3 linked regions of the Drosophila melanogaster genome follow. The protein of the gene in region 1 purifies or fractionates together with the protein of each later gene. This does not show direct contact. Each region holds a gene or a part of one and is shown in the gene's direction. Other genes may lie near its edges.

Region 1 (5,084 bases):
GTTTTAGCCATCTCTCCCCATCATCTGTCACTGCAACAAACGAGACACAACCTAAAACGGAAAAAACGGTACAGAACGCACCACAACCGATACGCAAACGATACGAAAACGTAAACTACACAACAACCGGAAGAAAACAAAATAGAGTAAACTTTGATCGAACCCTTTGCGTGGGTCGCTATTAATAATAATAATAAGAATATATAATAAATAATATATTTTACTTATTATTTAGTCTGTATTTTGTTGTAAAACAAAGATTAATAAAAAGATAATTTTAATAGAGGATGTAAGGAAATTAAATTGAGTTCGCATTGCAATATTCACGTTTTGCTTGATATGGTTCATATATATTTTGGATAATACAGTATTAAAATGTAAGTGCAATTTAAACTTTATTTAAATTGACATACATTAAAGAAATGTGTGTTTTGGGAGAATTTCATAATATTAAAGTTATATACAACTTGGTTAACCTTTTCGATTAGTATGAAAGGTATATTTTTACTTATTTTGTATTGTTTTTTATTACCGTAAAGGAAATGGGAGGTTTTCTTCGCGACACAATTTTATTATTTGTATAATCATAAAATTAGTTAAGAAAATTCAATACCTTCTAAAAATATTGATTTCATATTTTTTTGTTGCTAAATGATCCTTTTAACCTATGAATATGAAACATTAAAATAATTCAAAAACAACTAGTTCCCATTTTTAGTGGTTCCAGCGATAGGAAATAATCGCTTCACGGAGTTGCTGGAAACATCGATAGCATCGCGTGAACATCGACTTTTGTTCCATCCCTATCGTGGATGTTTATGTGGTGCGTGTGTGGCAGAATTATTATCAAAATTATTGAAAGAATCAATTTTGAGCCCGCAGATCGTCACACTTGCTAGAAAATGTCGGAAAAGAAGCGAGCCCGTCGCCGCAAGGATGTAAGTGCTAACTGTTTCCAATTAGATCCTTCTAAAGGGGCTGCGCGTGTGTGGGTGCCACAGTCCAATTGACATGCCGAAAGTGTTTGTTTTTTGTTTTGATAAAAAAGGAGAAAAAAAACGTGTGCATGCAGAAAAAAAGTAAAATTGACTCGAAAAGAAACAAAACGCTGAATTGCGAGTTCAGATGGGTCATTCAATATTTTAATATTATTTGTGGGGGGCAAGTTCAGTGCAGGTTGCGCTGCTCTTTGGAGAAACCCCCGTGGGATGCCCCCCGCCCGCAAAAGGTCTATAATTAGCTTTATGGAAAATGTCTTCGCTGCGTATTTAGCTGTATCTGGAATTTGAGTTCTACCTTTTCTTTTTTATTTTTCAGTCAATTAAGTTTTGGGGTCTACAATACAAACAGCTGAGCTTACAAGCTTTTGCCTATCTGGCAACGCCGTAAGTCCGTCTTGTAAGCCGATCTCGCTCATTCGCTGGCTCGCTCTCTCCAGCTCTCCCTCTCGCTCATTACCCACACATGTCAGGTGCAGGCCCACTTATCAGCTGCTCTGGTTGTTGTTATTGTGGTTATTCGTGTTGTTGTTGGGGAAAGTTTGAGTACGCGTGTAAGTTGGGCAGAGGCGGCGCTTAAGAGGGTTTTGTTAATCATTGGCTCCACACATACATGGGAAATTATCACTAATATCATTTCAATCGTTAAACAGCTATGAGTATCAATACAGCTTCAAACCCCCTTGCATATTTTCCAACTGCTCCCCTGTTTAGTATCCATGTGTTTGTTTGTTGTGGTGATCACCAGCTCGTTTGATTCAATACTTTCTAGACTCTCAGAGCGAATGCAACACGTCACGGCTAAGAAAAACTACAACCGCTTCTGGAATAGTTGTTTCTATTTATATAGTTCGCAGTTTTTAAGTTACGCATATTAATTCTCGTAATGAGTGGAGAGGAGGAGTACTTCCAGGAGGAGGAAGAAGAGGAGCAGGAGCAGGATATTTACGACGATGGCACGGTACTTAGGAAAAAATAAAACCCACGTATAATAAAGCCATCTCAACGGCTTGAGGGTGACGAATACAAAATTGGTGTCGTGGCCTATATTCGCTTGTAGTCCCCCCATTTAACCAATCGATCGTGAAAGTGAGTTTCTGACCTGGTTTTCGGACCTTTTTCTCTTTTTTCCTCTTATAGGAATACACCGAACCGGGTGCCCAGAAGGTAGACAAGCCGTCAAAGGACGAGAAGAACGTGGCCAAGTGGCTGAAGAAGAACGTTAAGACGAAGAAGACCAAATTCCTGAGCCACATCGTCGAATACTTCACCTCCAGCAAGGCCATCGATGCTCTGCTAAAGTCCAAATTCACCGAAGGCAGCAATCCGCTTTTCACCACCCGGGAGCAGGTAATCGAGTTTCTAGACGTGATGCTGGAGCACAAGTTCTTCCATCGCGCCAAGAAGGTGCCCGTCACTCTGGAGGAGATCAGAGGAAAGTCTGGAGGCGACAAGAAGGCGGACAAGGAGAAGACCCAAGATAAGGAAAAGGACAAGGCAAAGGATGAGAAGAAGGATACCGATCCGGAAGGCGATAATGGCCAAGGAGACGGAGGTGCGTCTGGCAACGAAAAAGAGAAGGAGAAAAAGGAGAAGAAAAAGCGCAAGATCCGCCTGGACATGCATCCTGAGCAGATCTTCGTGGACGGCTCCGAGGCATACGTCTGGATCTACGATCCCATACCGCTCCACTACTGGATATTCGGCTTCATCCTGCTACTTGGCGCCGTTGGCATTTGCCTATTCCCTCTGTGGCCTCCACTGCTACGCAAGGGTGTCTACTACTTGTCCATTGCGGCTGCCGGCTTCCTTGTTTTCATCCTGGCTCTGACAATTGTACGTCTAATTGTGTTCATCATCGTGTGGGCATTAACCGGCGGCAAGTTGCACTTCTGGATCTTCCCCAACCTGACTGAGGATGTGAGCTTCTTCGCCTCCTTCTGGCCACTATATGAGGTTTGTTTCGAATTATCCATTTATGTTAGTTTACTAAATTACCTTCATCTCTAGAGCAACTATAACAGTGACCCAAATAATTCGTCCGCCAAGACCGACAAGAAATCGAAATCGAAGGACAAGAAGAAGGAAAAAGAAAGCGATGCCGAGGACACAGCCGTGGATGCGGATGGAGACGCTGACGGTGATGTGGATGCTGAGGTTTCCACGCTTGAACCAGAGAAAATCGAGCTCATCAAAGAACATGACACCGACATGGAGATCCGCAAACGTCGCAAAGTGGGTGCCGATGACTACGAGGAAGACGATGTGGATGAAGAAGAAACGAAGGCGCAGCCCAAGGATTCCAAAGCTGGGTAAGACGGAACCGCTCAGTAATGACCAGGATTCCTGCTTTATTGCTCGAATTTGTATTTATAATTTCTTTTATTTCCGTCGAACTTTTGGTTGTATGTTTTTCATACACTAAATCATATTGAATAGCGCAAAAGACATACATTAACTTTAGCTTTTAATTGTAAATCCTTTGTTCCTTAATAAATATTATTGTATAATTAAAATGCATTAATCCGATTCTTGGTTTGCGTTTCATAACATTTTTATTTCGTTTACGAAGCATGTTATTTGTAAATACATTTGTTTCGTGATTTGTGGTGGCTCATTTTATTGGTTGCTGGTTTTTGTTTTCTGGTGATACTTGAGGTATTCCAAAGTTATCGCAAGTTATCGCATCAAAGCAGAGTAAGTTTTGCATCCCATTCATTTGATATTCATTGTACTTACAGTCCTACATTTACTTTTGATGAATGCATTTTAGTAATTTCCGACTTATTTGCTTTGCTTTCAGAACGCCACGCAACTCGGGATCGGATTCGGAGAGCTCGAGTAAAGATTACGAGATAATCAGTTCAAGTGAAGTCCAAAACGTTGCTGGCAACTAATATGAAGAAACCACAATATATATATATATTATTATTTAATGATCCACATCTAGCTAATTGATAAGACATAGAACAAGAATCACACATCAAGTACATCAGCAAACACACACGATTCCAAGTACAGCGAATTATTGTCCCACAAGAAATGCGATCGGTGTCGTTATTCTTTATTGAAGATTTCCTAATCTGCTTTAAATTGAGCTTAGGTTTGAGGTTTTGCAATATTTTTTATTGTTGGATGTAGGCTTGCATATGAAACACAATATTTTTAAACGGAATATTATGTGAGACAAAGACATTTGGTTATGCACCATGCAGTTGGACATCTTTTTTTCGCAAAAGTTCTTAAGCCGTTAAACAAACTACCTATATTTTACCTATTTGTATTCCTATGTTTGTAAATGTATACAGTGGAACGCACTAGGCAGGTGCAAGAAACGATTGCAATTGATAATAATCATAGCGAGTACGTACGTAGATGTGAGCGCATACGTTTCTATGTGCATGAATATTTACTCTACATGTAATTAAAGCAAACTAACAACTTAATGAAATTAGTAGTGTAACACGCAATTAACTATTATATAAATAAAGCTAGGCAATTCTGATCTGATGTGAGAGATATTTGAGCGTTTTTTAGTTCTTGCTCGAACGTTTTATTAAAAAATATACAACATACAATTTGTCTTTAAAATTAAACTCGTGGTATCAAAGGGATTAAAAATGAAAATTTACGTCTATAGATTTTAGTTTTAAGTAAATAGATATCCTTTATAACTAAGTTTGCGGTTCATCTATGACCACAGTTATTTGAAAAGTCCTTTGCTTATGTGGAACGCTGATAAGCAAATGATCTTTCGAATTGACTACAAATTCTTGAGGATCTTGGTTCTCAGATAAATCACGTGGTCTTATGATCATACTCCGTCCAATTTGATCGAATGGATCGTAGACTGTGAGCTTGGCAAGAAGTTTGGCACGCGATGGACAACCGACCAGCCAGAAGAAAACACCGGCTAATGCATCATCCTTTGCCATTTTTGGAGCAGCTAGCAAGGTCAGCGGATGATTCCGCATTGGATGTGATCTAAGGGTTAGAATTAGTAAATAGATATATCATTTTTGTTTTCAGTAGCTAACCTTTCCTTCGCTAAGCTGGTGTACAAGAGAAGGGCCACAAAAGTGTTTC
Region 2 (4,052 bases), on another chromosome or scaffold:
GAACCCAAGGAGCGCCAGGTGTAAAGTAAACAAATAGAAAACCTCGCAGTTTATGAGGGCGATAATGGAATCAATGTTGTGAAAGGGCTTGGGAGGATTTGAAATTAGAAAGTTGCCCCAATTGTGTATTTTCAGATGCATTACTTTGCATGAATGTGAATAGAATGTTCTTTATTAATACGCCTAGGAATTTAATGGGTTTGTTATAGAAGAACCTTTTCAGTCATATGGTTTAATAGCTACAATACCATCTGGAGCAATTTGGCGACAAGGGCCACTTCCAACTCCTACCACTTTTGCCAGATTGTCGCCTATGCAGCGCCCTAATAAGCCAATCATAATAAATGTCAAGCATTGATTTGGCTTCTTGCCAATGACCAATCGACCATCGCCCACTCTTTCCCAACCTATTCCATCCCATCCCCACCTCACCACTTCCATCGGACTGTCAGTTCATCATTAGCAGCTGGGGGAGACTTTGTCTAGGGCTAATCATTAATGCTTAGCTGCCTGAATTGCTCATACGCCATGTGTGCAGGGAACATAGCATGTGGCTGAGCGGCAAAAACTATTAATTTATGGGCTTGTCGCATGTTGCCAAACACCTGACACGAATCGTCAGTCAAAATGATTAAGAGAACTGCCCTATCCCAAAAAAAAGCACAGGGGCAATATCTCGATCAAAAGATCTTTAAAGCAAGCACAAGATAAACTTTTTTTTATTACTATGATAGAAATAAACGCCGTTTAACAATTATGATCTTATAATCTCAACATATTGGCTGCTTGTTGAATTACATTTAAATCTATATCTATATTATCTGTATCATTTATAGTGATGTTGTCTAACTTTAAACTAAAGAATAACGATCACTAAAACGCTCATTCATCTATAAGCAAGATATTCCTAAATACCTATAAAAATAATAGAACTTGCTTAAATAACTAATCCAGTTCCCAAAACCAGTCTTGCTATATTTAAATACAACTGAATTATGCGCTTTCAAATAAAGAAAATAACCATCAAGCTAATGATTTGAAATCCTTTTCCAATCCTCTTAGAGCTATTATCCCCGCAATTAAAAACCGATAAAGGCAATCATCAATTTAGATGATTTGTGACTAGCGTGTGCCGCTTTATTAGATCGTAACAACAAACAGATTTGTTAACCAGTTTTTGTACATTTGTTTTGAGAACCTTGCAAAGCGGTTCTAATGCAAAACAACTTCAATAACGCCCCACATTATGCACTGTGTAACAATGGCAATAACAATAACAATTCAGATAGCATTAACACTCAGTTGGCCCATTGTTTGCGTTTTTGGGGGCTCGAAACTGGAATCAAGTTTAGTACGACTTGGCAACCGATTTTCGAACTCACTAGACTTGACTTCATGAATATTTAGCTGAATTCTGACATGGGCCGAACTTTTGCATAACGAACACATAGTTATCTGTATCTTCATGTAACGAGCTTAAGGAAGTGAAATTTCGAACGCAGAACTTGCAAAGCGCCGCTCAGATACGAAGTAAACAGATTGGAGGCCCGACCCGCATTACAATATTGCAATTCATTCCGCTCGAGATTGCATTAATTAAGTAATCCACCTGTTCTAGTAAACAAATCCATGCAGGTTTAGCTTAAATATGCGATCAATAACCAGCTAGCTAAGATATTCCGATAATATGGCATTCGAAATAAACAAAATACTAGTTTGGCTTATATTTAAATTAGTACAGGATTTTCACCTGATCCACCTACCTGAGCGCCCTATAAAAAGCCTCCGACTGGCTGAGCTCAGGCCATAATCAATTTGAAGATCGTGTAAGATCGACGGAACGAAGAAATCTATATCGCGTGCGAGGAGAGGATTTGCATAAATTGAGTCTGAGTGATAATGGTAAATGAGACGATGGGACATGTGGTGGCTATGTGGTTATGTAACAGCCCTTTAGTGCGAATTAAATGGACTTTAAAGAGTTCTCAAACAGGATTTATAACAAATACTGTCTAACAAAAGCGGATAAACCAATGATAATTATACAGACTTTCTAAGGATCCATTTCAAGGTGATCTAATTCTAATGACTTCTATTATTTCTTTTTAACTACCAACAGACCAGCTATACTGACAAAGGAACCAAAGTAAGTTCGAAAGCGTATGCCAATATTGGAGCGTATAATGCCAACCTACTTTCTTCACTACTTTCAGCCTGAAGCCGGCAAATTTCTAAGCTTTGATCACTTAACCTTCTACGTTGGCAACGCCAAGCAGGCGGCCAGCTACTATACCACTCGACTGGGCTTCGAACCACTTGGCTATCAGGGATTAGAGACCGGGGAGCGACGCTTCGCCAAGCATGCCGTCCGCCAGAACAAGATCGTCTTTGTGTTCGTCTCCGCCTACACGCCGGATGACGAGGAGCATGGACTCCACCTGATGCGCCACGGCGACGGTGTCAAGGATGTAGCCTTCGAAGTGGAGGATTTGAATGCCATTTTCACACTGGCCGTGTCCCGTGGGGCCGAAGTGGTCCGCGACATCTGGGAGGAGAGCGATGATCAGGGATTCGTGAGATTCGCTACCATCAAGACGGTAAGTCCGTGGATTTCATTCTGGAATATTTAAGGATTAATCCTTAACTTGAATGCAGTACGGCGACACTACCCACACTTTCGTGGAGCGCAATGGGTACGCTGGAGATTTCCTGCCTGGATTCCAGCGGTCGCCCAAAGATGTCCTTCTAAACGGATTGCCCTCCACCAAGCTGAACTTCATTGATCACGTGGTGGGCAACCAGCCGGATCTGCAGATGGAGAGCGTGGCCTCCTGGTACGAGAGAATCCTGCAGTTCCACCGCTTCTGGTCCGTGGATGACTCGCAGATTCACACGGAATACTCCGCCCTGCGGTCCATCGTGATGGCAAACTACGAGGAGACGGTGAAGATGCCGATCAATGAGCCAGCCAATGGGAAAAAGAAGTCACAGATCCAGGAGTACGTGGAGTACTACGGCGGCGGTGGTGTCCAGCACATTGCTCTTAATACGGATGACATTATCGAGGCGGTGAGCAACCTAAAGGCTCGAGGAACCGAGTTCCTGACCATCCCATCCTCGTACTACGAGATCCTTCAGGAGCAGCTCTCGCACAGCCGCACCAAGATCAAGGAGGACATGGAGGTCTTGAAGAAGTTGAACATTTTGATTGACTTCGACGAGAACGGATATCTGCTGCAGATCTTCACAAAGAACTGCCAGGATAGACCGACCCTCTTCCTGGAAGTTATCCAACGCTACAATCACAATGTAAGATTTATTGCTTAACCTACTGTTGCTAAGAACAAGTAAATCATGATCATTACTATTTCAGGGATTTGGCGCTGGCAACTTTAAGTCCTTGTTCACGGCCATTGAAATTGAACAAGCCAAGCGAGGAAACTTGTGAATCAAATGTGATCAAATTGAGAACTAACAAAATCAATAATAAATGAAATGGTCTAAACTGAAAAACTATTTGTAAATTGATTGCCTAAATGTCATTTGTTTTATCTCTGGTCCCAAAACCGAGTGTCTATCAACACTTCGTTGCGTGGATCGCCTTCTGCGAAGGAAACCATGTGTGGATTCCAGAATCCCGGCGGAGTTGAACTGCGAGCGTCTTCATGCCGGCACTTTGCCAAATAATCTTTGATCTTCTCGTCTGTCAGATTTGAACCCATAAAATTGATGAACTAAGTGGATCGAATTTGAAATAAATATTATTTAGTTGTGGATGGTCGAGAAAATTGTACATACCTTTTCGCACTCGACGCACTCAATGTTAAAACGTTCTTTGACCGTCGCCTCAGGTTCCTCCTTGATCAAAATCGGTCGCGGAAACTCCTCCTCCGAATGCCTACTATCCTCTTCTTTGATATCCATAAGATACTTTTCAATATCCTCGGGCAGTTTTGTTGATTCGTTGCCTAAGTCTGTTTCTGGCTGGGATATAGGTTCCATTTTCACGACTTTGGTAATTGGAATGACGCTCTCAACTTTTGGGGCATTTG
Region 3 (3,533 bases), on another chromosome or scaffold:
CCTTTGGTATAACACTATGTTTCAATGTCGTGTTACCGGGAAAGGAGATTAGCCGTGACTATATGCAATCATTACGGACGTAGTCCACGTAGTGAAAAAGAATGTGCCACGGGGACCACAATATGTATAGGAATCAATGATAATCTGTTTTTTCTATAATAATAATTTGTGCTAAACAACTTTATTTAAAAAACATAACGGCATTTTTAATTCTATGCATGCTTAGATAACGTTTTTTGTACCGACAAAACTGTACAGGCCATAAAATTCCCCTTACTTATGGTATTTAATAGTCGTAAAAACAAAAAACAAAAAAGAATGCTGTAGTCGAGTTCCCCGACTATCAGATACCCGTTACTCAGATCAATTCACCACTTTTCTGGTATTTCGATAGATATTGGAGAATAAACTGAGGAAAAATTTAATAAATTTAACAAGGCAAAAAGCTGCGTCTATGTACATGATCTCAACTCTCTAGCCTCTATAGTTCCTGAGATCTCGACGTTCATATGGCCGAGTCGATCTGGCCATGTCTGTCTGTTCTATAAAAGCTGGATGGATTAGATCAAACACCCACAAATCGCCAAAAGCTGCCACACTGTTCAAAATTGTAAATAACATATTTTTAATTTTTTCCTGCCAATTTCGATGGGTTTTTGGCATGTTGTTTTGCCTCCACTTTAACGCTAACAAACCGCCCAAAAAATGTTGCGATTACTCGTTCGCACTCCCTCTAGCTGAGTAACGGGCAATTTATTTCATTTCGTCAAATGAAAACTTGATTTTTGGAATGTTTTCGATTGAAACTTAAAAACATCGACTCGCCTAATTAACGCTCAACTGCCGACCAAAATTCGCTTTACCACACTTTATAAGAATATTTATATTACTCGTAGAGTTAAAGGGTATACTAGATTCGTTGAAAATTATGTAACAGGCAGATCCAACCATATAAAGTATATATATTCTCGATGAGGATCAATAGCCGAGTCGATCTGGCCATGAACGTCTGTCCGTTATTTCCATTACCGTTATTGCCCATTATTTCCAATTACCGTTGTGCAAGTAGAAAACAATTGAACTAGCAAGTAAAAGCATTACCCATAACAATAGTATTGTTAGCATGATTCCAGGTTGGATTCAAGCCATGAAGTGCTATATTTCTGAAGAACTGAGCATATTTTCACAAATATCTTTGAGCTTATTGGTTTTTCTGCATTTTTGAAAAGACTTGTTTAATAACAAATTCATTTATACAACATCTGCGACAAAGCGAATTTTATATGCAGATAGATCGCTTCCCACAATTTTGGTCATGAATGTGTATAAATTGGGTTTCCGTCCATAAAACTTACTTTCTTCATATTATCCCAGTTTTGTCAATCGAACCGCTTTACCTATTAATATTTTGCATATAAATATATTCAGCGTTGACAATGGGGATCTCAAGCGATTATTTAAATTTGAACGCAGCGTTGGTCGCCAAGTTAGATAAGATCCCGGACTGTTCAAGCAGTGCATCTGCGCACACGGATCTGTGATTTGGCAACCGCCAATGTGAAACGTTACATATTCGAAGTTGTGAAGTCTATAATAGATTCATACGATTTATGGTAGTGCCTAATAATTTTTTCATTTATTGGGAAAACGATGCCAGCCTGGACAGATATAAAAACATAGCAATGGGAAGGCAGGGCATCATTCGACCCTAGCAGCTCAGACAGTTCAAAGTGAAAATGAAGCAGTTCGTTGTTCTAATGGTAAGCAACTGGCACATGAGCGATCCCCGCAACAACTAACACTTAATGTGCTCTTGCAGTGCCTGGTGGCCCTCACAGCAACAGCTCCTCAGGGATACAAGTACCAACCTCAGCTGCCAGCCCTTCCCATTGGCAATCTTCGTCCTCTGACACCCATTTCGTCAAGTGGAATATACGCAAGTGGCGCCGTCCCATCTTTCCCACAGGCCGGTGCTCAGCCCGCGATCGGTGTCCAGCCAGCCATTCAAGCCGTGCAGACCATCGTTGCCGCTCCTGCTCCCGCCCCCGCTCCCGCTCCTTTGTCGATCTCACTCCCAAAGGAGACTTTCCTTACTGCTTCGCCCCAGCAAAACCTGATCAGCACTGTGCAGCAGCAGCCTCAGCAAATCGTGTACCAGCAGCAACCGCAGCAAGCCCTTCAGACCCAGTTCGTCCAGCGCCCCGCTATCGTTACCAAGGACATTTACATCCACTCCGCCCCCGAGGAGAATGAGGAACTGCGGCAGGACGAGCCACTTCTGGAGAATGTGCCCATCCGCAAGAACTACCGGATCGTCTTCATTAAAGCGCCTTCCCAGAATCTGAAATATACCGCCGCGGCCCTGAAGCGGGCCCAGTCAAGCAACGAGGAAAAGACCGTCATCTACGTGCTCTCTAAAAAGCCCGATCTCACTGAGATCCAGCAGCAGCTGCAGGTTACCCAGTCTGAGGCCAAGGTTCAAAAGCCGGAGGTCTACTTCATTAAGTACAAGACCCAGGAAGAGGCCCAGCGCGCCCAGCAGGAAATCCAGGCCCAGTACGACGCCTTGGGAGGTGCAACCCACATTTCGGACGAGGGAGTGGCTCCCATCGCCAGCGTTTCGAGTGGCTCCCTTAACCTGGGCAGCTTTGTGCCCCAGCACTCCCAAGCTGGCCAAACCATCATCCACTCTCAGGCGCCAACCATTATCCAGCCACAGGGTCAGCCCATTGTTCAGCTGCAGTCTATTAACCAGGGGGTCCAGGGGGTCCAGCAGCAGAGCTCCTTTGTGCAGAAGTCCACCTCCTCATTCGCTCCCTCGGCGCCATCAAGGAAGTATGTGCCGGCAAAGACTTTTTAAAAAGTTGTAGTAAGAATCCTATCGCTTTCATTGTTTTATATCAACCATCATACTGTAGTAAATTTTAATTTATTTTTAATGCAAAAGTCGAAAGTCGAAAGAAATATAAAAAAATTTAAATCGAAACCCAAAAAGCCTTCTGTTTCTAGTACTCGTTTTTAAGTTTAATCCTTTTAATATTTTAGATAGGTTTTGTTTTAGGATTTGGAATTAATCTTTCATTTAAGGCATAGCTTGAGTTTAATGTTTCTTATGAAAACGCTGTTTATTTTTATCACAAAAATGTTTCAATGGGCTAAGAGACTATGACAATGACTTCTTTCTCGCAAGAAAGTTTGGACCATCTCTTTTGGCATTAAGCCAACAGCCATAATAATCAAGTTTTCGTGTGGCTTAATCGTTGTTATGTAAGTCAAATCACATGCTAATTTATGCGACCGGTTTTCGGCTTGGATGGCTGTCATTGGACTAATGGATGTGGTAACATGGTCCATAGAAAACTATTTTGTTACTTTGAAGTATTGAAACTCGATTTCATATTTGAATATGGCTGCAGAGTCGCTTTCTATCATAAGGCGGAGCTCAAAATATGAACTTTATTTAACTAAATGTGTAAATTACAAGAGTTCAAGTCTTAAAATTACGACAGTGGCCTTGGAGTTGTACCTAAGCA

Evidence for each region. Proteins that work in one complex are often made in the same cells at the same time.
Region 2: the proteins of Trp1 (region 1) and Hpd purify together in Drosophila melanogaster (affinity purification with mass spectrometry, with the first as the bait; one large-scale study listed by BioGRID). This does not show direct contact.
Region 3: the proteins of Trp1 (region 1) and TwdlF purify together in Drosophila melanogaster (affinity purification with mass spectrometry, with the first as the bait; one large-scale study listed by BioGRID). This does not show direct contact.

What each region holds. Positions count from the first base shown.
Region 1 is NT_033779.5:10,008,599-10,013,682, forward strand, and holds Trp1 (translocation protein 1), read left to right. Parts: upstream 1-1,755; 5' UTR 1,756-1,884; coding exon 1,885-1,959; intron 1,960-2,138; coding exon 2,139-2,954; intron 2,955-3,008; coding exon 3,009-3,310; coding exon of another isoform or gene 3,311-3,314; exon of another isoform or gene 3,315-3,520; intron 3,521-3,801; coding exon 3,802-3,895; 3' UTR 3,896-4,572; downstream 4,573-5,084. Other genes in the region: CG13131 (uncharacterized protein), read right to left, coding at 4,673-4,982, 5,036-5,084.
Region 2 is NT_037436.4:20,437,622-20,441,673, reverse strand, and holds Hpd (4-hydroxyphenylpyruvate dioxygenase), read left to right. Parts: upstream 1-1,801; 5' UTR 1,802-1,899; coding exon 1,900-1,902; exon of another isoform or gene 1,903-2,119; coding exon 2,120-2,146; intron 2,147-2,213; coding exon 2,214-2,597; intron 2,598-2,655; coding exon 2,656-3,309; exon of another isoform or gene 3,310-3,373; coding exon 3,374-3,448; 3' UTR 3,449-3,508; downstream 3,509-4,052. Other genes in the region: CtIP (CTBP-interacting protein), read right to left, coding at 3,549-3,734, 3,799-4,052.
Region 3 is NT_033777.3:4,245,325-4,248,857, forward strand, and holds TwdlF (TweedleF), read left to right. Parts: upstream 1-1,695; 5' UTR 1,696-1,736; coding exon 1,737-1,760; intron 1,761-1,819; coding exon 1,820-2,860; 3' UTR 2,861-2,989; downstream 2,990-3,533. Other genes in the region: TwdlG (TweedleG), read right to left, coding at 3,527-3,533.